Linked DNA regions of Rhinolophus ferrumequinum. The protein of the gene in region 1 interacts with the protein of each later gene in a biochemical or structural test. Links are inferred from orthologs where the notes say so. Each region holds a gene or a part of one and is shown in the gene's direction. Other genes may lie near its edges. The genes, in order: PDZD2 and CTNND2.

Region 1 (12,432 bases):
CAAGGCCAGGATTAGGATGAAGCAAGAGTAGTGTTTAGTGCACAAAATTAGGAAGGTCCTCACTCTCAGGGTTAGGTTCAACCCTGAATGAGCACACAGCCCTGCGAGTAAGAGCCCAAACTTGACATTTTGTACCTTAGGCACCTCTCTTACCTCACCTTGGTTCTGGCCCAGCAGCAAACTCTGATATGAAGTGGTATCTCGGGGACCATTCGCGATGATTTTAGAGAAAGGCTTACAATGAACAGTTTCAGGGGGAAAAAAATTCAGATTTGGAGTAGATTGTTCGTACTTGTTAGAAAACATATGCACACAGAGAGAAGCAAACTTTGGGAAACTCTGCTATACAATGCTCTACAATATGGCAAATCTGTGAACTTTTTTGATCTCTAAAAGCACTGTCTTGCAGATTCATGCTGGAGATACAATATTGATAAGCCCCACGACATTCTGACTGATGCTACGCATCTCAAAAGACTTTAATAAGAAAAACATCATTCTTTTAGGAGCATTTGGGATTGATCATACAGAATTAATTTATAAGTCTGCTGCCTTCGTTGAATATTTCTTCTACTCTGGCGTGAGACAGATATGTGCACATCCTTCAATGACAAGGTAACATAGATTCCCTTAGTCTTTGAAGTCAGTCTTTCTAACCCAGAGCCCATAGTCCTGAGATACAGCGTCTTGATTGGGAAAACCAGGCATTATGTATTATGCAATAGATAGAATTAGCATTTCCAAAATTATGGGCAGAAAGAGAGGCCAGCTGATCCTACAGGATCTTTCTCTACTGTTTTCCAAAGTATATTCTGCCTCCCCTCCAGAAACACTTCTGGGGGAGTCACCTAACCAAGTGGGCACATTGATTCCTAAGGAGTCTCCTTTGGCTCTAGAACTCTGAGATCTTGTCAACTTGTGTTGGCCTTCATTCTCAGGTGGTCTGAATGTCTAAGTTATAAAAGCAAATTATTTATAAACAATTTCGGTTATTTCCTTTGTTGATAAGTACACAATAAAGCAGAAAAGATGATTCCTTTCCCTGGATTCAGGAAAAAAAAATTAAGAAATAGAAAAAATGGGCATTTAAATATTCTTGAATAGTGTTCTATTAACCAGAACTGAGAAGAACCCCACAACTTAAATAAAGGCTAACAAAGAGCATGATCCTTGGGGATTTTTTTCAAGAAGCAGCCTTACGAGGAATCCACTCCAATGATCAATTAGAGAGAAGGAGGTTGCTACTAGCATTTGCTAATACCAAACAAAAATGTGATGTTTTTACATATTTTCCAAAAGAAAATGTGTTTTGAACCAAACTGGCTTTTCATGTCCACCGTGTCATTTCTTCACAGATTCTACTTTCTGTGGACTTCACTGACCTACTCTAGTTCTTGAACACAACAGAGATGAAAAATACACTTGTGATGTTTGGCCCACAAATTCAACCGTCATGCAAATCAGTTGTTAATGATGATTTATCAATTTCCCTATCAAACACCCTTGGTGATTCTTGCTGTACACTGAGATGAAGTGTAAATCATCTTATTCATGTACATTCTATGACAACCTGAAATCACTGTTCAAAGAGCTATTGCGTTCCTCTCCTTTCATTTGAAGAGACTTTTAAATTTTTTCAAAGTACTTTCACATCTGTGATCTTACCGGGGACTCAAGGTCCTAATGAGACCTTTAGAGGCAGGTGTTATTATCCCCATTTTAGAGAAGCTTGTCTGAGGTTGCTCCACCCTTTATTGTGTTAACTGTGATTGGCCACAGAACACAGCGCTGGCTCTTTGTTGTTTTTTTAGGCTGGGTATCATTACCTGAGTTTTATTTCTGTGTCCATTTTAGCTATACCCATAAAGACAGGTGCTAAGCTTAGCAAGAGACGAGGAGTGAAGATGTAAAGTTAGAAAAATAAAACAAAGAAAGCACTAGAGATAGACCAGCAATAGGTTTATTTTTATAATTGCTTTTTTTGAGATTATTAAATGAAGAGATCTGGAAGTAGAAGTATCTGATGAAGGAGTAAAAATAGCCCATGATTGACTTAGAACGATGCCTTTTCATAAGTAAACAGAGCAGAACAGAACAAGGAGAATAGTCAGCAGGGGAGATAGGAGTTAGGAATGAGAATGTGTTGTGCACAAAATGAGGAGTTAGGAAGTTTCTTACCAAAATAGTCTCCAAATTTAGAAGCACGATGATTGGACTGAATTGCAACAAGGTGGGAACAGGGAATTGGGGAGGACACCAGCTTCCCACCTTCTAGAGGGGAAATATCTTTGACAACTTTGCCAGTGTGATAAGAGTTCTAAGCCCCAAGAAGACCCTCATGTCCTGTCTCTTGTGTAAATTCAAAATAAGGACAATGACTGGCCAACTATAAAACAGCACCTATGTGCATTCGGAACTAAAATAGCTTCCCTTTAGATATGCTGATTGCAAAGTACTGGTTATGCTAATCAAAGCTGAACCGCTCTTTCTTTCTTTAGTAGCCTTTTTCTGGCATCTTAAGCAGGTTAGGTAATTCAGCACCGGACAGAATTATTGAATCATCACATAAATTGTGAAAGTAAGCAATATTTGGTCTGCACTTGCTAGTTATAATTCATTCTTTCTTGCAAAAATTATATAAAAAATTAGCCTGGAAACCAATGCTTTCATAATATAAAAAGAAGGCTAAGTCAAAGATATAAAATAATGAATGTTTTAGTCACCTAGAAAAATAGGAGAGATTGTATATTCTGTATGGGGGAACTCCCCACCTCCAGGAGAAAACCATAAGTTCTGCATGTGTGGTAATATTATACAACACTGACATCAACACAACACATTTGCATAAATTCCAATGTCATGCTCATGGATACACTGAAAAATCATCATTTTCAATATACATAAGATGAAAAGTACTTAAACCTTTCCCCTAAGCAAGTATTTTAAAACAGGATATATTAAGTGTAAGTCCATTACATGTATTAGCTAATAAAAAGATTTGGTCTGAGACAGAATAAATGTTACAAAATTTTCATCAAGGTTTAAAATAAAATCTATCACCACTATCACCAAATACCAGAGTGTGATATAACTGGGCTCCCTCTCATTTTAAAAGTCACTCTATTTCTGTGTTTCTACAGATATGCTCTGTGGGCCACCCAAGTCACAATCAATGGATTGCTGGTGAAAAATGCAGTATCAGAGCCCAGAGACAGACTAGCTCTGATGCCCACCAGGGGGAGGGCCAGGGAATCTGCATTTCCAAATCTCCTGGGGATCCTTAAACACGTGTGGGGTTAGGATCCACCAAACTAATGTTTTACTGTCACTGTTCCTTATTCGTTCTTTTTAAGCCCTTCTTTGGCCAGGGGATGGCTCATTCCAATATGAGTTCATGAATGGAAGTTTTCGCGGCCAGGAATGCGCAGAAGAAAGAAAGGAGAGTAATTAGCTGGATAAACAGGAAGCCAGCATCTGTTTTGGAGATTAAATGAAGGCACAGATCCCGGGAGGAGAAAGGGAATTGAGCCAGTTGTTGACTAAAGCGTCTCCCCCACCCACACCCGACCCCCACCCTCAACATATTTGAAAGAGCAGCTGAACAGAAAAGATGGAAAGCAATCTTTAAGATTTCATTTGAGTTGGCCATGAAACTTCCAATTTAGTTCCAGCTGCCTTGTGGATAGATTCTTCTCCATAGATGGGGAAAGCTCACAGGTAAACAGCAGTGCATGAGTCCAAGGCTCACATAATAAGTATGCTGCATTCATTTATCCATCACTGACATAGTGTCACCCAGGATAATACATGTTTTTTCTTAGTTCATTATTTTAATCTTCTATTGTCCCTAACTAAGCCTTAAATTGTCTATATCCAATATCTTTGTCCATATCATGTATTTATGAGCAATAAATTAAAATGGAAACTTGGATAAAAGTACTAACCTGTGACTAAATATTTAACAAGGGGGCAGAAAGAATTTACATTTTGATCTTCAAACACTGGAACATGAATGCCCTTAGTTGTGAGCTTTCCAAATTGGCAAGACTGCAAGGGCAAAACAAAATTTCCATACATTTGATTGACCCCTTGAGAGGTGAGCTATTATTAGCAGGCCAGAACTTGCCAAAAACTATCTGGAAAATATCAGATGAGAAGTGATTGAAATTAGAAGTACTTTAAAGCACAGCCATGTCCAAAGAAGACAGAAGAGAAAATAATATACAGAGGGTGCCAAAAATATGTATACACATTTTAAGAAAGGAAAAAACGGTTAAAATTGTAATACCCAATATATGCCAATAACAAAAGATGAATACAAGTTACGTTTGGCTTCTGCAATTACAAGAGGTGCTCAAAGTGGTTACCATCAGTGTCCAGACACTTCTGATTATGGCGAACTACTGCTTGAGCAACGTTGACCAAAGTGTCCACTTGTATACATGATTTTGGCACCCCCAGTACATACACACACACACACACACACACACACACACATATAATATTTATACATATATAACATATATGTATCTATATATTTAACAATTCATTTTAATTCAGCAAATATTTCTTGAGTGGCTAATGGGTTACCATGTTAAGTTTTGGGAACACAGATAATAATATCTAGGTTCTATTACCTCCAGGAGCTCACAAGCTGGAAATGTGTGAGAGGGAGCACTGATGCCTACAACCTAATACAACTTGACAAGGGGTAGCAACTTGTGTAAAGTGCTACTGTTGTAACAATTAATGGGAAAGAAGATAGCTGATGTTGGTGCCAGTGATCAGAGCTATCTTCCCAGAAAAGGTGACATCGGACTCTGGAATTTCAGCAGACACAGGAGGGTGAGAATGCCCTGCTGGCAGAGGGAACAGAATTTACAGGGGAGGAGTACATCGCTGGAATAGAGGGTTGAGGATGAGTTGGGTAAGAAATAGCAGTGCTTTATGGTTTGAGTGATCAATTTATTCACATATCCATTTATTCAGCAAACTCTCAGTGTGTGCTGAAGGAGGTGGGTGCTGGGTACAGAGGCTGAAGAGACCTGCACTGCTCTTCATGGCTCATGTGTTTGGGAGAGCGGTGGAGGATGGGACTGGGACTGTGAAAAAACAGAAACCACTAGTCCTGTTTGATTCTAGAAGGATCTTTTGTGGTGTCCCAGTGATACCTTTTTAGGTAAAAGTGCCATTTCATTGAGTACCTCCTGAGTGCTGTGCTGAGTCACTATGCTACTGCTCATCCTTACATCAATCCTGCATGGTAGGTATTTACAGATAGGAAGAGAAGCTCTGGGTGCCTGAGATGGCACAGCTTGCAATACATGCTTGGTGCATACACTGATCCCATGGGCCCGGTAATTATAAAAGCTGAAGGACAGCTGAATTCATGTACTTTCCCACCCCGACCTCTGCTGAAAATGCCATCTCGAAATGCCTTGGGACCAGCATGGCCTCTGATGCTGTGGGTCGGCTCTGCAGAGTCTGTGCAGGTGATTTATGCCTCTCTGCTCTTCCAAGAAAGAGATCGGAGCTATTGCCTTGCTGGGCAAAGCTGTAGCAGATCCTTGCCCCACCCCATCCCCCCAAAGCAAAGATTTCCAATTATTGCTCTGCAGAAAATGTCAAAAGCATTATTCAACTATTCATTATCCCAGGTTTTGTAATTTTTCATATGTTTTTACTCTTATCTGCTAGCACTTGAAAAAGACCAGCTTTTTCCTCTTAAGAGAGCTTAATTTGCAGAGCTGTGCAGTCTTCCTATTATGTTCTTATCATCCTCTCCCTGTGGTAGGCAGAATGACAAGGATGACAGGAAAAAAGAACAAAAATATTTGAAGGCCTTCCTGAAAATCCACGGGAATGAAGGACCCGAAAAGCCTGAGGTTTCTGTTCCTTGACTGACCTGGAACAAGGCCAAAGGCGATTGGCATTAGTTATCACAATCCACCCAGCAGAGGTTCTTGGCTAGTTCTCACAAGGACCAAAACCACCACCCTAGGGCCAGGAAACTTGGTCTCTGAAGATTTCTCCCAGGGCCTTAACCGGGGGATTAAGCAGCTCTGAGGTGCCAAGAGGGAACCCCGAAATTCTCATACCAGTGTTAAACATACTTTGGTATCCCAAGGACCAGAGGCCAAGAGTGGCTTAGAGTGGATGGTTAGACCTTCCCCATCTCCTTTGACCTCCGCCCCATTCTTATAAAGCAATTGACATTTTTCTCGATGCTTCGTAAAGTGCTACTGCAAAGGCAACTTCAAGTCCCCTAGCTCGCTCTCCTCCATCTAGATGGCGCCCAAAACTCCGCCATCTGGAAATTCTGAACTGCCATTTCACTGGATCCTTTCCTCCCAAGGTACTCCCAAGGTTTATGAAGCCAGCGCACTAGGACTTGGGGTTTATCCCGAGGGACGCTCAGCCCGCGCGGTGTGCCTTGTTCTGGGGGGGAATCCCCGCCCACCTTGTCATTCCTGCAGGGGAATCCCCGCCCCCTGTCCCTGTCACTCCAGGAAGGGAGTTCCCGCCCCTCGAATCTACCAGTGGGAGGGAATCCCCGCCCATCCTGGAGGCTCCGAGGATCCTCAGCACAGCACAGCTGGGAGAGCCGATCCAGGAGCGGACTCCCAGCGTCGGTGCGTCCCGGGCCCGGGCAGGGAGACGCGGTGTGGTGGCGACTGCGGGGGCTCGCTGGGCTCGGGCACCCGGGATTGCGCCTCCTGCGGCTGCGGGAGCACCACTGCGCTGCAGCTCCGAGCAGGCGCGGCGGCGGCACCGGCGGCAGCAGCAGCGGCGCCGGGTCTCGCCGGGCGGCGCCTGGGTCCGAACGCGCACGAAGCAGCAGGAGCCTCCGACCAGCCGCGCGCAGGTGAAACGATCGTCGGCTGCAGCCAGGATGTGGGGATTCGGATGGGGGTGGGGTGGGACCTCCGAGACCGCGTGCGCCGGGGAAAGTTTACTGACAAATCCGGGTGCGGGAATCCCAGCCGCGACAACGCGGTGATTGGGGGTGCCGAAGCTGTGTCCCACGTTTCGCGGCGCAAACTCCCCTCGTATCCTGCCGGGGGCGGGGAGGACGCGGCCGCGGGACGAGGGCCGGGCAGAGCCGGTCCGAGACACCGGGACAAACCGAGACGCACTGCAGGGCACACTTAGGATAGGGCCAGGAGCCCCTGCGCCCCGGCTCCCCATCCCTGGGCCATCGCCTTGTCTTCTCCTCCAGGGCGGAGGCACTCAGGTGCGCCGTCTTCAGGTACTGCCTTGGGATCCATCTCCCGCGCTTCCTCATCCCTCGCCCTCCCCTGCCTGGAGAAGAGACGTGCCGGGCAAGGGAGTGGAGGGGGCACGAAAAGAGCAAGGGCATCTTTGGGGGCGGCTACTGGCATCTGCCAGGGAGATGGAGAACGTGCCGATGGGGAAATCTTGCTCTCCCTCTTAAGTGGAGTTCCTCCCAAAACGTGGCTCGCTTTCTCTCCTCTCCTCTCTTCTCCTCCCCTCCCCTCCCCTCCGTCTCTCTTCCCCGCCCTCTCCGCTCTCCCTCCCTGGTTTGCATTGACATTTTAGGTCTTTGGGCTGCTTGTCTTCTCACAATGCTGAATTAAGTAAGGGGAGGGTCCGGGGCCCGTGGCTGGAGTTTTCCAGAAGTCTGTCCTCAGCAGCAGTCCTGATCTGTGCAGAGACCTTGATAAGGGGACACTGGAGTGTGAAGAGGACAAGGTCTGGCAGGGACTGGTCTCAGAGACTGACTGGAATGGCAGGCACGAGGGCATTCCAGAACTGCAGACCTGCACTGGGACTGGAGGTGGGGTGTTGGGGGCAGGAACGACTGGCATCTGTCTCTTGCAGCTGGCCGACCGCTTGCCTCCCACAGAGGTAGGGTGCCTTGAGGGATAATGATGGAGCTGCTGCAGGTAGTCACTGAATGGCTGCGAAAGTGGTACTCTGGATCTTCCTTTACAAAGAGCCCCCCTGGACTTTCAGTGCTGCTGGTCCTTCCTCAGTGGGGTTTCCCACACTCAGTCTGCCTTGGACTTGGGCTCTAGGGCCCTGGTGTTTCTACAGGGCCAGCTTTTCTGGTCTATGATTTTGGGTGGGGAGTCAAGTTGGTACAGGTACGGAAGTGTGGGGCCAGAACACGTAGAATGTCTCAGAACACACTTTTGGCTGTAGGTGGTTGTTCTAGCTTCATCAATTCCTTCTTCCATTAGAATGAGCCAAGAACTGCTGCTCCACCCATAACAACACGGTGGTGTGAGTGTGTGTATGATGGAGGGAGAGGGGGAGATGTAGGAGTAAGGGGAAGAGGTAGTAAGTGAGGGCAGGTGCTGGAAGAGGGAGAGTCAGAACCTTGTGAAGTGTATCGGATGCACCTGCCTTGTCATAGTTAATATGCTCCAGGGAAAATACTGAATTATACTTTAAATCTCTATCATTGAAATTGAGTTTGCATGCACTTAAGGCAGTTTACTATTTAAGGAAACTTATGATAATTTCTTTATTCATTTCAACCAATTTATTTTTGGAGTACCTGTAGTTGGCTGTGCACAGGGCCTTAGAGGTTCCTGGGGACACACATAGATACTGGAGGCTCCCTGCCTGCTGTCAGAGTTTCAACTATTAGGAGAGGGGAGGTAAGTATACTGAGAACTCCGATCAAAACCAGTGCCTGTGTGCCTAATAAGCACCCTATGTTCAGTGGATGAAGGAATGAAGGGGTGATCAAAGGAATGAAGGATGAATGAGTGAATAAAGCGACTAAAGATAGTCCCAATAAAACATTTTAGGAGTAGCGGGAGAAAGAATCATTTTGGAACGAGGGGATAGGAAAGGCTTGTGAAGGAGAACCTTGGTAGGACAGGTGCGTGCTGCAAGGTGATCCTAAGGTGGGATGTGGCCCTTGGGTGGGTGATGGGAGAAGAGGCTAAGAACTTGGAGGAACTTAGTTCTGCAGATGGCAGGGAACTATTTGAAATTTTTGAGCAAGGGACTGTCACGATCAGCTATGTGCTTTAGGGAGATTAATCTGATCTCTTGCAGAAAGAATTGGGATTTGGGAGAGATGAGAGTTGAGGAGCCTACTGAGAAGGTTATTGTAATAAACTGGAGGATGGAGGTCTGAGCTGGTGGGTGGCAGTCGGCTAGGAAGAAAAGAATGAACTTGAAGTATGGGCACTGTTTGGATTTGGAGTGAAGAAGAAACAAAGACCACCTGCAGGTTAGGCGTGTGAAGACACAGTTAACTGAAATAGGGAGCTTGGAGTTTTAACATTCAGTAAACGAGAAACCTAGAGAAAGCCTCTCAGACTTCTCACTCCTCCCATGTGTAATCATATCTAATCAGTCATCAAGGTCTAAGGACTGCTTCTCCTTGTAAGACCTATCAGTGGTCCCCAGGGACCTCCTGTGGGATAAATTCCAAATCCTTTGTGCCTCCTCAAACTTCTTTCCTGCTGTGTCCCCCAACACACACACACTCACACACACACTCACACCACCTTCCTGGTTCATTGTACTCTAGGGTGTTGTCCCAACCCTGACTTAGAAGTTCCAGGCCTGGTGGGCTGGACAAGATAACACAGAGCTGTGGGTGCTCCCTTGGCCTGGATCACGTGGGCCTAAGTGACTCAGCCCATGGTGGGAAGGGGGTTGTCTCTGTTGGGAGAGGCCCCCAGGTTCCTCTTACTACACCAACCACATGGGGAAGCATTCCAAAGAAGACAAATCAACAAAAGGTCAGGGCCAAACTCAAAGAGGCTGAATCTCTTTAATAGGGCAGATGTGAAGACTTGAGAGACTTTAACCTCTTCTGCCCTCAAGTGTTTCCTGCCCTCAGGTGTATCCACAGGACCAAGGAGAATGCTAGGCGGGGAGACAGGTGACCAGGTGCTGGCAGTCATTTCCGAGAAGGGCCAGCCTCCCAAGAGGATGATGGGAAAATGCCACTGACGGAAACTGAGAGCCTTGTCTGCAAAGGATGGTCGTGGAAGCCGGTTACAAGGGATGAAGGAGAGAGTGGTGCCAAGACAGTGCGAGTGGGGGGTGTAGACACTGGATCCAGAAGCGTGCCAATTAAAAATAATCAGAGAGCAGTTGGAGGAGATGGTAGCATTGTAGGAAGGTTTATTCAGGAGAGTTCCTCAAATCCCCCTCCCAGGCATGTGTGGTAAACAAAAGAGAAGTGGAAAAAGTAGGAGAGACAAGATAAGGAGAATTTGGGAGGGAAGAGGCCACAACAGGTGCAGGAGAAGAAAAGCTGGCATCTGCCTTTGCTGGAAGATAGGAGGAAAGCAGAGGTTGGGTGAGGCGCTGGAGGGAGCCTGCAATGCAGGGAAGAATGGGTCTTGGTAAACAGGAGGGGTGCCCACTGAGATTCGGAGGGCACTGCATGAGGCTGGGGGTTTTGTGGGGAAGGTGGAAATGCTGCTGCCAGCCTGGGGAGGTGAACCTGGCACCTGGCTCCCGCTGAGGCAACCAGGAGGAAAAGGAAGGATTCCAGAATTAGGGTCAGAGACTTGGGCTGCAATCCTAGCCGTGCAGAAAACTTCTTATTGGCCAGATCATTCAAAGTTTTGGAGCCTCAGTTTCCTCATATACAAAATTGGTATAACAGTTACCTCACAGAGTTGTCCTTAGGAGGAATAAAAAGGAGATGCTGAGGTGTGTATGCAAACCCCTTCATGACAGTGTCTGGTACGTAGTGGGTGCTTCTCATAGTGTGCTGAGAAATGAATAAGCCTCTTGCCAAAGGCAGTGAGAGCCCAGAGGCAGGACTTTTTAGTGGACACGGCTGAAGCTTTCTTTCAGCTTTAGATGAAGAGCTCTGGACTGCTCAGAGCAGTCTCACCTCCCTGTTCCCCTTTAAGGAATCTTTCAGGATGTCTGCCTTTTTATCTGTTGGCTTGTTTCAGTGGATACATCTGCATTTCACTTCTCTCTCTTATTCAAAGGTCAAGTTGTCAGGGCTCACAGCTAAGAGATCCTGCCTAGTTTCCCCTCTCCGCTGTGCTTTGGAGGGGTGTGATGCATTCACATTTGCTAATTCCTGCACTTGAGGAAGCTGAGGTCCAGAAAAGCAGAGAACTTGACTCATTCCAGTACAACTGGAACTAAAAGCGCAATCTACAGTTGCTTGATCTGGGGATCTGTTGTCTTTTTATGGCGATTATACAAGATGCAGGTGGGTGAGGAAAAATTAAAAATCTGTGTATCCCATTGGTTTTATTAACGGGTCTGTGATTAAACTTAGGGAGATTAAATAAATATTCTTAACTATTAGTGAAGACAGGAGCAAAAGGTGCACTTAGCTTGATTTAGTAAGCACTCAATAGATGTGGGCCAAATTAAATGATTTTGAGGGAAAATGTGTAGAATGTTTTGTTTTTTGTTTTGTTTTTAACAAAAGAGAGGTATAAAAATATGTTCTCAAATTATTCTTGATTTATTTTCCAACTGAGTGGTCTACGTCTAGATTATGTTGTCCTTTGGGTTTAGGCATAAGTTGCATATAAAATGATAGATCTTGTCATGGCACTTAAAATATTTAAATTCTTGATCTTATCATAGCCATAGTCTAGAAGTGAAAAAAAGATGGAATTGGGAAGCATATATTTCCCATGGGTTTTGCAGTTCTGGGGAGAAGCAGGATTTGAAGCCAGGTAGGTCGGCCGATTCAGACTTGAATTGCCTGTGATCTAAAGAGCTCTGCATTCTGTCTACAAATGTGTTCAAGAAAACACTGGGAGCATTTACAGTTTGAAAATTCAATAGTTGAAGAGGCCCTTTGTGGTCTGATAAGGCGGCTGAGCCGAGAGATGGCTTATTAAGGCACTCAGTGTATGGAGAAGACACATTTGTCTTTTAAGTCTCTCCAGCTCCGGGAAGAGGCCTACCCCTGGCTGTGGCGTCTTGCCGATGTCAATGGCGTCTTCTCCACCCCACGTTCTCAGTCAGGCCAGGAAACAATCCCTGTTCTGAGAGCTCCTGGCTTCTTGATGCATGCATTACCTATTTGAACACATTGAGTGAACAGAAAATCAGAAACTTAAGAATTAACTCTCTTTATGAAGCTACTTCATGAAACCAGATAGCTAGCATTGAACATCTGGCCGATTAAGTTATTCTTGGATTATTTGTTTTTAGGTTTTAAAGTGTTTCTATCACTCATAAAGCACTCTAGGACATATGAAGAGGTTTTGGAGAAGTGGGGCTCGGGGAACTGACTTTACAGCAGAGAGGACTAATTTTGCACACACTGTTGTCACAAGCCTTAGATGAAATCATAGCAAGGAGATAGGAGAAGTTGTCTGAAGCAGCCTGAAGTGCCTCGCGATCCACAGGAGGATAAAAAAAATCGCACACTCTTACGGTTTTGCAAGGAGCGTGATTCAATCTCTTCAGGTTGAAGTAAATTTAGTTCATTCCAGATAGGATCTGTGG
Region 2 (12,477 bases), about 13 Mb from region 1:
TTCAATAAGATACGTGCAGTCTGATAAGTGAGTGTGCTTTGGTAGCAGGGCTAAACCAGCAGAAGTAAAGGGGCATTTTAATGCCATCACTAATATTAGCCATCATTTATTAGTTGGTCACTGTGTGCCAGACATTGTACCATTTGTTTTCCATAAATTGATTCATTCACTTAATTCTCACAGCAATATAAGAGACAAGATGTTGTTTATTTTAGACGTAATAAAATGGGAGCTTCGAGGATTTTAATGGGAAAATTGATTTCAGATTGGGCACTGTTTACAACCTTGAGAATAACGCTGGAATGGGCAGAAAACATGAGGGAGACCAGTAATGGAAAAATGAGTTCTTCATTTTGGGAAACAGTTTAAAAATCAGAGAGGGATGTAGGGTGGACTCATTCTGTGAGACTTTGAACATGATTTCATTTCCTGGTTAGTACAAAAATCTCATGTCACTGAGTTATCTTCTAGTATATGTGATTTCAGGCCATATTCATGTACTCACTTCATTGAATTAAAAAAATAATAATAATTCATAGAAAACATATTGCAAAGGAAAGACAAGTGACACAGCTGTAGAAAGCAGAGGAGAGAAATTACAGAACATATATATCAGAGATTACATTTGGCTGCACATAACAGAAACCAGCTACTATGACTTAACCACATAAAAGTTAATACTGCTCCCGTAAGAAGAAGCTCAGGGAGCAGAAGTCCCAAGCTGGCACAGTGGTTCCAGGGAAATTTCAGAATCTTGAGCTTCTTCTATCTTAAGCTCAGACACCTTTGTTCTATGGCTCTCATTTGATTGACAATCACAGTTGCAATGCGGCAGGTCCTAGTCCAGCGTGTAGTCTGCATTCAGTCTATAAAAAAAAGGAATAAGCAGCATGGGGAGCTCCCCTTTCACACAAACTGCACTGTGAACACTCATCAGACTCTCATGTTTGTGTTACTGACTGATAATATGTAGCAGCAAGAGAGGCAGGGAAGTGTGGTCTTATAGGTGGTCACATGCTGCTCTGAACAAAATTTGGGTTCTGTGCAAAAGGAAGATGGGGAGGCAGCCAGCAGTGATTTGGGCTTAAATAGAATGTTTTGGCTTCATCAGAACAGTGCACTGAAAAAGTAGAGAATACGTGAATCTAAAAGGCCAAATCAAAGTTCTAAAGCAAGATACCAGGATAAGATGGTGATATGGACAAGTATTTAGGATTAGGGGAAGAAGCCAAATCTCAGGCTATAAGATTGAGGAAAAATCAACATTGATTTTTAAATTCTTTCTATGCATGCAGGCCAATTTTGAGGCCTGCATATATGATAAATCAATTATTATTTTTACAGACTACTTGGTTCTAAAAGATCAGTGGTGGGGTCTTTTAGACTCTTTAGTGAATACAGCTTGCCTTCCTGGAGCTACAATATACATGAATATAGATGCTATTAATTTTTTTAATGAATAATGTAGGTATTTCATTCTCAAACCTGTTGGAACCCAAGGCCCCATTTCTACAACAAATACTATGAAATGCTCACTTTGCTATCCTGGAAAGAAATTCACAGACATTAACTTATTTTTAAGGACCTATGCAATATCTCAACATAAATATAAAGAAGAAATAAGAGGAGAGACACTTAAAATAGTGTGTCTTTCTTTCTGTAAACACTTGGTCACAACGAGGCGAGATGATCTCACCAAATTCTCAGACACTTTCCCCTATACGTCACATCACCCCAAGGTTGTGGCTATAAAAACAGACTGACCCAGGTTTGTGTTCTTTTGATGGGTTGTGTATCACTGGTGATGTTACTCTTAATCTTACGAGCAAAACCTTGGTCAATTTCTGAACAATGTTAAATCCTTACGTGGTTTATATCTTAGTGGCATTCCTGCAAAATTCAATGTATATGAAAACTGCAAAAATGCTTCTTGCTTATATGTAAAATGGAGTAATGTTGTGTGCTTAAATACTTGTGAATAGGTTCTCAACACCCATGGGATTGGTGGAACCCTGGAAAGTCATGAAGGATACAGGTAATTCCTCCTGTGGGATCGTCCCATATACTGCGCAATGTTTCGAACGTGTGGCTTGTGGCCAGTAAATCCTAGGGGCCATAAGAAAATACCTTCTCCCACATTTCTAAAATACTTCTTGGGGAGGAAGTAATGCTTCCCCTAAGAACCATGGACCTAGATGTTTGGTGTAGAAACTGAAATTTGCTTGATGAAATTTTTATACTAAATCAACTCTGCTTTAAAATTTAACTAGAAAATCTGGATGAACCTTGATGAAAACTCTCTTATTTCAGTCTTTGGATCTCATCTGATGCAGTTGCTCCTTCCTATTCTTGTCTGTAGACATCAAGCCAGTCAATTTGGGGGATCAGTTCCTTCATCTCTAGAAGCCCATTAAATCTATAAGCACTGCTGATCAATCAGAGCATAGAGTTTATTTCTCCTCCAGCCAATGCCAGTTATTAAGATTCTGCGCCAAGCTTTCCACTTCATTATTTGATGTCTTCTTTATATGTATATGTAATTTGTCAACGCCTGGCGACCGAGACTTCTGACCCACTGTCCGATTCTGATCAATGATGCCGCAACTTCTCTATGCCTGAGCAGCCTACAGGGAAGTTAGACGTTTTAGTATCAGATTGTGACTTTTGATTCATGCTGGGGGCCGTCACTAGACACCCCACTACTCTCTGATTCCTCCATTGAGTCCACTCCTGGTTCCACTGCATCTCCAAGAACCTCACCCATTACCGAACACACTTTCTGTATCCCTCTCCTTGCTTTGCTTCAGCACTTTCGGTCCTATTTCTTCCCCATGCTCCCTATGTCCTGGCATACACCAAAAGACTTTGAAGAGGCAAAAACAATAAGAAAACGTGGAAGGGAAGGGCTTAAATAAAAGAATCATCAGCATCCTACAGCACATAGACGGTTAGAAAGAAATGAGGGAAACTGAGTGTGGTGACCTCTTCGGTGTACTCCCTTTTGTTCCATCACCCAAGAACCTCAGTTTATAATTAAACTTATAATTACTTATAATTACTTATGAGAATAGGGATTTTTGTCTTCTTGTCTATTGCTCACTATTGAGTTTCCAAATTTTGCCTGGTGTCTGAACCACAGTAGAAGAAGCTCAATGAGCATTTGTTGGTGAATGAATGAATAAATAAATGAACGATACCATCATTTGAGTAGCAGCTACAGTAAAAGCTAGTTTGTGTGAAAGTGTGAAGTTTTGAATCCAATAGTGAAATGACCCACACATTGATCTTAACTAAAATGGTTAATTCAAATTATTTTACTATTTCAAAAGTCTTTAAATAGAGAGTAACATTTTCCAGTAACACCTGCATATAGTTTATAAATAGTAACAGTGTTTAATCCTCCCCAAATATATACATTTATAGTTATTATGACACTACTGAGTTACCATTTGAGAGACTTTGATTTAAAATTTAAAATGTAAAATTTAAAAGAGTGTGATTACTTTCCTTGTTTAAGTGCAGGACAGCAACAAGAACCACTGATATATTTTAATTTCCCAACTTGAGAAATTCCCATTTGTTTATCAATGGGTAATTCACTTTAAACATTACATGAATATGATCTTCCATTTGAACCTCAAGAGTAAGATACAGTGCTATATTTAAATTAGGTAAAACCAGGGTGTCACTCTCCTAAAATTGGCATATTTTGAACTATAAAATATGATACATGGATTTATGAAAATATTTTTAATTATTAGGATTTATTTCTAAAATTAAATAAAACTTCCATGTAAAAATGTATTTGCTTCAGATTTTGAAAAGTGATTTGAAAACACAAGAGCTACAAGACTCAGTATGTTAGATGTGCTTTCTGTATCTCAGAACTCTATTGATACATAAACAGAAGAAACTATAAAGTTTCTTCATTTAGTGTTGCTGAAATTTGAAAATATCAAGCTATTACTTTTCTGGTCTCCTAGTGAACTGGGGAATTCAGAATATTTCCTTATACAGAAACTATCAGAAGCAGGAGGCAAAAGATGGCAGCAGTGAGTCGTTCCAAGAGCTAATGCCACACATGGTCTTTTAACTGTGTTTTTCAATATTATCTAATTGTGCATTTAATAATAGTATCTTAAGTTACAAATTATTTTAGAAGAATAGGCATCACAAATGTCCCACTGAAATCAGGCACACAGCAAATTAAATCAAAGTAGTCCAGCGCGTCACTGGTTTCCTTAAATACCCACCTTACCCACCCTCTAAAGGAGTCTGTAGGGACTGCCTATGGGGCATTTCCAAGGATTACAATTAGAAAATAGGGTTTGCCATTGCTCATCTCAAAAATAACTCTAAGAAAACTTTAGAAAAGTATTTCTTAATGTAGATCTATATAGGCATAAAACGTATTTATTTTCTGTGGATAGTATCTATGTACCTATTTAAAATTTAATCCAAAATGTAACTGACCTCCCCTCAACTCTCCCTACCCCCACGTCCCCATGACTTGAGTTAAAAGATGCAAAGAGGAGTACAGGTAAAAAAACAATCTGAGCACAGCTAAGGTAGGAACAGAGACAATCCTTTAAAATGTGACGTGGCCTAATGGATATAGTGCTGCTAATTGGTCTTGTACCAAGTACTCCACAGTAATTGAACTGCTTTTCTGACAACTAAAATAAAAAGTATAGTTCAACATGTGCTGGAAAAAAAAATGGTCCTGCAGTGTCCTTCCTCAATATGGAATCAGCTTCAAACTTGGAGCTAGGCTGGGGGAGGAGAAAAGACTGAGCATTTGCACGGCTGTCAAAGTCCTTGCATAACCCGCAGTTCCTTGCTTTTATTTCTACCCATCTAACCTAAAACTTTTCTCCTTTGTTCTTTCTTCGAAGTTTATTTTAACTTACTCCGAAGTATAATAAAGAATAGCTCTGGACAAATACTCAAGTCGTTTGACTTTGTTGGATAATGTTTTCTGACACAAGAGAAGCACTTTAGTGCTGACTCTCAGCCCCCAAATCCCAGTGATTATAACTTCCCGGATTCTGTCACGCCTATCTGGGTCTCAGAAACCAGCTCTGGGGAGGGGTGGCGCGCTCAGCCTGCCCATGTCTTGTAAATGCAGGAGGGGTGAGCCCCACCATGACTTCCGAAACAGGTACATATATGAATCAAGGCCCAGAAATGTTTCATGGCATGGGTCTTGTTTTGTAACAAGACATCCACCGTTCACTACAGTGATTCTACTCGTTGTATTTCACAGCAAGAGAGGCATAGAGTCGTCCCGATGGAGTCGATGAGCTGTCAGACCATGGGGTGATAGAAAAACAAAATCTGCAGGCTGGATAAGACGGCTACAGGGGAGGAACAGGTAACAGTTGCCATTTTAGCCTGGGAGAGGGGAAAGCGGAGGAGAAAGAGAAGGTGGTGGCAGAGGAGCAGAAGAAGAAAGAAAGAGGAAGAACAAGGAGGAGGGGAACTTATTATTGCAGTGTATTCCAGTTCCAGACCGGACAAGGGTCTTTCTTGCAGGAAATTTACATCCATTCCAGATTCAAAACCAGAGGGAATTTGCTTAAGGGGAAAGTCTGTCCATCCTCGAAAAACATGTTTGATCTAAGCACTGGAGGTGACTGTGAAATTGGACGTGCGCTGTGGGGAAGCCCACGGATGGATGCCCTACCTTCTTTGCTCTAGAACCACAGGACTCGAGAACATCCACCTCCCCCTAGCAGCATGCACAGTTAGCCTGCCCCCTCCTTGGCCCCGACGCACACAGAAGCCATTCTAGAACCCCCTCGGCCCTGGCCCCTTTGTTTGCAGGCTGACAGCTGCCCCACCACAATTAACTGTCTGCATCATGCACGTGAATGAGGGAACCGGCCTTTTGAGAACCGCTCAACGCGGGGTTCCAGGCCTTCCTCGGTCTCTTCCAGCTCTCTCCTGGCTCCCGAGCATCCACCCATCTCAGGGCCAGGGTGTGCGTTCCCAAGGATGCTCGGCCCTCTCCCAACCCGCAGCCTCCTCCCCTCTCTCCTGCTGCTGCTGCTGCTGCTGCTGCTGCTGCCGCGAAAACCAGGAGAAGTGGAATGCGCACGGCGAGGCGCCGCGCTCTCGCGGCGGCACTGGGCATGCTCGGCGCCCAGGGCAGCTTTGGGCGGCGGGGCGGACGCTTCCTCACTCGCCGGGCGCCCGAGCCGGCCGCCGAGGCTTAGGTGGAGGCTGAGGCTGCCGCACGCCGCGGGAGGAGCTTCGCCCTCGGCAGCGGCACAGGTGGCGCGGGCCGCGCGCGGGGCGCAGCTCGGGAGCGCTCGGCGCCGGGCGCCGCGGCGGCCCCAGGCTCGCGCCCGCGGCGGCAGGCGGCCGAGCGGAGCGGCGGGCGAGGCGGCGGAGCCGGGAGGAGCCCGGAGGAGCCCCGAGTCCGCGGAGCCCGCGGAGCCGAGCAGGGGGCGCTGCGCTCGCCGCGATCGGAGGGGCCGCCGGGCCGGGCGCCGCGCTCTCGCGTCGGGAGCCGCCTCTCCCCCGCGGCGCTCGCCCCTGCGCCCCGCCAGCATCACTTGTCCCGCGGCCGCGCTCAGACAACAAAAGCGGAAGATGCCGCACTTGGGCAAGGTCAGGACCTTGCCCTGAAGCCGGGCGGCGGCGCGCACGCCTTTTCCCGGACCGAGGAGCTGTCGCTGGTGGCGGGTGCATGTTCGCGAGGAAGCAATCGGGCGCCGCGCCGTTCGGTAAGTTGCCTGCGCTGGCTGTCGGGGCCGGGCGCATCCTCCTCCTCGCCGCCGGTGGGGGTTGGTCCTCGGCTGCCAGCCGGCTGGCGGCGGCGCCTGCTGCAAGGTCCAGCCAGCCCGGGGAGGACCGCGATCGCGCCCACTCTCCTCTCGGAAGACGGTCTGACCGAATGCGGGCCGGGGTTAGTACCTTTCTTGGAGCGGTTACCAAGTGGCTTCTCGGCGTGCTCCCCCTCCCCGCCACCCGTCACCCCCGGAGGAGGCGTATATAGGGCAACACCAACAATACTGCTCCCCGCCACCCTCAAGAACATACTCGTTGCGTTTATGACGCCCCTTCATATACAGGAGAAGACGGGGTGGGGGTGGGGAGGACTTCCCTCCAGTCTTTTGCCCTTATGTTCAATGTCATTACGATGTTTGGCTAGAACAAAATGGAAATACTTAGTCATATGCGTCCATGGCCATTGCTTCAGGCTCCCGCTGCTTGCCAGACCCTGAGCCCCTTTGGTCTATATTTAGCGGTTTCCGAGCAAGCATTTTCAGCTCAATTCACAGGTATCGGGGGCTTCTGCGTCCTGACAATAGACTGCGAGGCTCTGGGAAGCGCCTCCTGAATTCCAGGTTTGGAAAGCTGTGAATCTGGACGGGAGATGCGATGCGATGTTCGGATGATCGCTAATTAATGGCCGAAAGGAAAGCTGCTTTGCTTTTTTGCCGACCTTCCTCTTCTTCTGGTGTGTAATGTGTTTCCATCGATTCCTACTCAGCTGATTGGAGCCACTACGTTCCGAATTAAGTCGTTAGAGAGGTGGTGCAGCCTTCCTGGTCTGTGTGGTAGGAAAACAGTCCTAGGGATTGTTGAGGTGTGTGTGTGTGTGTGTGTGTGTGTCCCACAAAGAACAGTTACTTCCAAAACGCCTAAAGTTGTGGTTCGCTGTCAATGTGAGGGCAGTGAAGGGTGTGGAAAAAAAGAGAAAAAGGGGGGCAGGTTGTGGTTCCAGGGTGGTTCCCCCCACCTTGTGTGCTTCAGTTGAATTGATCGGATGTGCTTTGGCCCTGAAAGGTGTTAACATGCATGCCTAATGTCATCAAGTGAATATGTTGGTTTAGAAAAGGGATACATCGTAACCATGGTATTTGGCCTGACAGGTATAGATTTTCACTTTTAGCAACTATGTGACAGATTTAAAACGCTGGGAATTTTCTGCAAGGACTTCCATTGAAACAGGGAGGTGCTGAAACCCCCTGAGTCACCTCATCGTGTGCCCCCACATCAGTAGCTTAGGCTGCTCATGGGAGTTCAGTTCATCTTTTTGCTGTTAGTAATTCACCTACCAGATTGAAAGGCTTGGAGCTGTACCACTTCTAATAAATAAATGTACCACTTCTAATAAAATCCCATGAAGTCTTTGATATGACTCATATCAAATTACAGGGATGAAACCGCATGATTCTGGGGGCTCGGTCTGTGAGGAGTATGACAGAGACGGGCGGGCAGCCTCAAATCTGAACTAGAGTCTTTAAACTGCTTTAAAACCGCTTTACTACATGCAGAATCCATTTGCACTGTTTTGGGGAAAAATGTTCAGCGGCATCCTTATTGGTCTGCGCGTTTCCAGATCTCTGGGCTTGAAGGAAGAGGACATTTGGAGTCAGATGTTGAAATTTGGGGGCCTGTAATTATACAGCTAACAAGTCTCAGCATTGCAGAAAGACCAGGAGGGTTTCTGCAGCTCCAGCTAACTGAAGAGTGGGATGAGTTCTACCTGTATTGCTTTTGTTTCACCTTATTCTCATTCAGAGAACTTTCCAAGAGCACTTTGAACCCACTATCATGCTTATTGCGTTGTTTTAATGTAAAATTTCTTTGGAAAACAAGCAACATGTGAAGTAGATGTTCATTTCTCTTTCCACTTTTCCTTTTGCGTGTGCTGTTTCGGTTTTAAACATGATTCTGAAAGGGCTACTAGATATTGTTCTGTGCCTATGAGTGCAGGTGGAGAGCAGCTGAGAGGCACGGGAAAAACTACATGTACTGTATATGTGAATTTTATGTCATGCTGTGGACTGAAAATGATAGCACCTGATTGAATGGCAATTTTAATAAGTACATGAGGTTGTGGCTCTAATGAAATTGTCAGTCTTGTGGAAGGGGTCATTTAATTTGGTGTATGTTTACCTAGTTGTGTAACCTAATCACTCTAGATATCACTAATATTTTCATTGTAATAAAAGTCATGCACTGTCAAATTACAGCATTTCCATCAATTTCACATCTTTCACAATAGAATACAGGGCAATTCTTTCTCCCAGTAAAATGGTTCATCAGAGAGAGAAAATGAAATTCAAGTGATACTAGTCGGAAAATGCAATTTATGGTTTTCTTAAATAATTTCTAAGGATGGTATCACTTTCATAATGATCTTTAAAATTCAAAATGAAGTTATACAATTCTCAGATACAACATTACTTTTGACATATAATTGAATATGCAGTGCTCTTCCTGACAATGTTACGGAACCTATTACTTATTACCAAAGTTCTCTTTTATATGGTGTGCATTGATGTGGAATTGGTGAAGTTCTCCAGAGTAATCTCATCAGAGTTTTCATCAGGTTGTCCTTATGTAAGAAAACATCAAAGTTACATTTGAAATAATTTGTTGTAATTTGTCCATGAAGTCTGGTATACTTTGTATGGGCCAATATATCTGGTTGTAACAAGACAATTGAACTAAAATAGGAACTGTTGCTTCAAGTTCTTTTTTCTTTTTCTCATGATTATCAACAGGAGCTAGGAACACCCCTTTATGGTGGCTTCTCTGTGTGAATGTTGTTTTCACTTCTTTAGTGGGAAATTGTCGATGTTCGGTTAGTATCGCTTTTCCTAAAAGTTTCAATAAGATTTTCATTTTGAAAAGATGCCACCTAGTTCAGAGTACTTAAACTTGAGGACCGCAATTCAGAGGGTGGACAAATACCAAAAGAAAACGGGCAGATATTTTAAAATTCAGTTCTTCTGTGGAAGATTTGGTACCATGGGTCTTTGCTGGCTGATTTACAAGTCAGAAATACACTTTCAATTCCAAATTCCTCAGTTGGTTTCCATAATGGTTTTCATTATCCATATTCCAGAGGTGTCCTCAGGGCCACAGTTCTTTGATGGCTTTGTGATAAGTGTTATGTGGATGTGGGTGAAAAATTAATTTGAGTGTGAATAGTTCATGATACTTGTTGCTGGCTTCAAGTTTATCTGATTTTATGCCAAAGCAACAGCTTTTTATATTAATGTAAAATATTAAACATGTCATAGATAAATAGTTTCTATCACATTGTCTGCCAATCTAGACTACTGATTAAATAAACTGCCTGGTTGGGTTTAATGAATCCAATTATATTCAGAAACAGTACCTCCAACACAGGAAACTCACGGAAGTATTTTATCATACTGTGCCTTTAGTCCATGAAAAATGTTAAGACTCATAACAAAAATGTGCAGTTATGACACCTCCAGTTGTTTATCTTTTGATCACATAGCAGCTAAGTGTAATTTCAAGCTCCATATCATGGTTAATTGATTTGTAGGAAATGTCTTAGCTGTATTAGAATATTGAAGTTATACTCTGTATCAATTAGTTTTTGACAAATTGGGAATAATGGCTAAATAAGTGAAACAATGCTTCCCAGAAGCTTTCCATCTTAGACAAATAGTCACCTGTATCCTTTGGTGAGACTCCTGAAAAGTTATCTGTAAAAGGAATTATGTATATTGAAACTTATTCCATTAGTTGTTGTCACTCAGGGACTCATGCAGGGTCTCAGCTCCTGCTCCCCACATAAGAACGCAGGACATGGTGAGGCCAAAAAGGAACACCCACGGAGCCATTGATAGGGGAGTCAGACCACTGTATTCTCCCTGGCGCTGGTGGCTGGGTTGGAGACACAGGAAGCAGGAGCCACACTATCCGCAAGCTGCCGTCCACTTGTCTCTGCCACCCAACCTCACTTGCTAGCTGCAATCCGCCCTGCTAACTGCAATCCGCTCTTGCTAGCTCAGCCACCATCTTCTTGCTAGCCCCCATTTTGCTATTAGCGTAGCCACGGCAGTTATATTAGTGGCCAATGGCTCACTGGTTACAGCTGACGGCCAGTTAGCCACAGCTGATGGCCATCCAATCACAGTTGATGGCCATTTACTACCTGAGCCAGCACCTTTCCACTTGAGGGCGAGAAACTGCCCTGGAAACTGCACTCCCGGCTCTGTCCCCACAATTGTCATTTCAGATCACAAATATATTTCTAGAGAAAAAGTTGATTTTTGCCCTACAATGAATAAATTAATATATGAGAATACACACACACACACACACACACACATACATACACACAGAGGATGAAAAAAAATGTATACACATTTTAAGAAAGGATAGCTGTATTAAAATTATAATACTCAATATATACCAATAACAAAAGATGAATACAAGTCACATTTGACTTCTGCAATTACAAGAGGTGCTCAAAGTGGTTACTATCAATGTCCATACACTTCTGATTATGGTGAACTACTGCTTGAGCAACTTTGACAAAAGTGTCCGCTTGTATGCATTTTTGGCACCCCTGGTTTTTTTTTGCGTGTGTATGTGTATATGGATATTGTGGAGACAGAGCCAGGAGTGCAGTGTCCAGGCTCTCAGCCTCATGTGGAAAGGTACTGACTCAGGTAGTAAATGGCCATCAACTGTGATTGGATGGCCATCAGCTGTGGCTAGTTGGCCGTCAGCTGTAACCAGTGAGCCATTGGCAACTAATATAACTGCCGTGGCTACGCTAGCAGGAAATGGGGGCTAGCAAAAGGATGGTGGCTGAGCGAGCAGGAGCAGGTTGCAGTTAGCACGACGGAGTGTGGTGGAATGTGGATTGTGGATTCTGTGGCTCCTGCCTCCGGTGTCTCCAACCCAGCCGCCAGCGAGAATATAGAGATATGACTCCCCTACCTATGGCTCCGTGGGTGTTCCTTTTTGGCCTCACCATATCCTGCGTTCTTATGTAGGGAGCAGGAGCTAAGACCCCGCAGACCACTCTGCATGACAGATATACATTCTAGTTTAATGCTTTTTTTGGATTCTGTTTCAGATAGGTGCCGAGAGGTGGAGAGAGTACTCGTTTTGGGTGGATCCTAGCTCTGTCTCCTCTTAGCTTAGTTCTTGGCCGTTTCTGTGATTTTCAGATTTTAGCTTAGTGTTTTCAGCTGTAAAATGGGTATGACAAGAAAGAATACCTCAAAAGATTGGTTTCAGGAAAGAATATCTCAAAAGATTGGTTTCAGAATAAAGTACTTGAACGCGTAAGTACATAAATGACTTGTAAATTGTAAATTTTTGTAGAAACACAAGAGATATATCTACATATTAAGATGGATACTATGCTCCCTTTATTTATCATAAAAATATGTATATAGGCCACTGCCCTCTGACAAATGGATTTATTCTCACCTTACCTGTATTGTAATATTTTTTATGTAGATGAGCATAGAAAATGTATCAAATAGTCTACTCTGTAGCATAACAGTGTTGTATGTATTAAAGTATGTAATAGTTAGCTAAAAGAGAAGTAAATTATATCTCCCAGCACCATTGTTAAAAAAAGATTCTAATCTAATAGTCAGAAATGGCAGAACTTTGGTACTGTTAATAGCGTTATATTATTATCTTATAGTAAGATAATAATTTAATCTTAATCTTACA

Evidence for each region.
Region 2: the proteins of PDZD2 (region 1) and CTNND2 form a complex in vitro, tested with the Homo sapiens proteins (2 studies listed by BioGRID and IntAct, with this or other methods). The link is inferred for Rhinolophus ferrumequinum from reciprocal best matches to the Homo sapiens genes PDZD2 and CTNND2.

The regions. Positions count from the first base shown.
Region 1 is NC_046290.1:20,811,011-20,823,442, forward strand, and holds the start of PDZD2 (PDZ domain-containing protein 2), read left to right. Parts: upstream 1-6,602; 5' UTR 6,603-6,865; intron 6,866-12,432.
Region 2 is NC_046290.1:7,808,613-7,821,089, reverse strand, and holds the start of CTNND2 (catenin delta-2), read left to right. Parts: upstream 1-6,461; 5' UTR 6,462-6,694; coding exon 6,695-6,731; intron 6,732-12,477. UniProt on the Homo sapiens protein: Has a critical role in neuronal development, particularly in the formation and/or maintenance of dendritic spines and synapses. Involved in the regulation of Wnt signaling.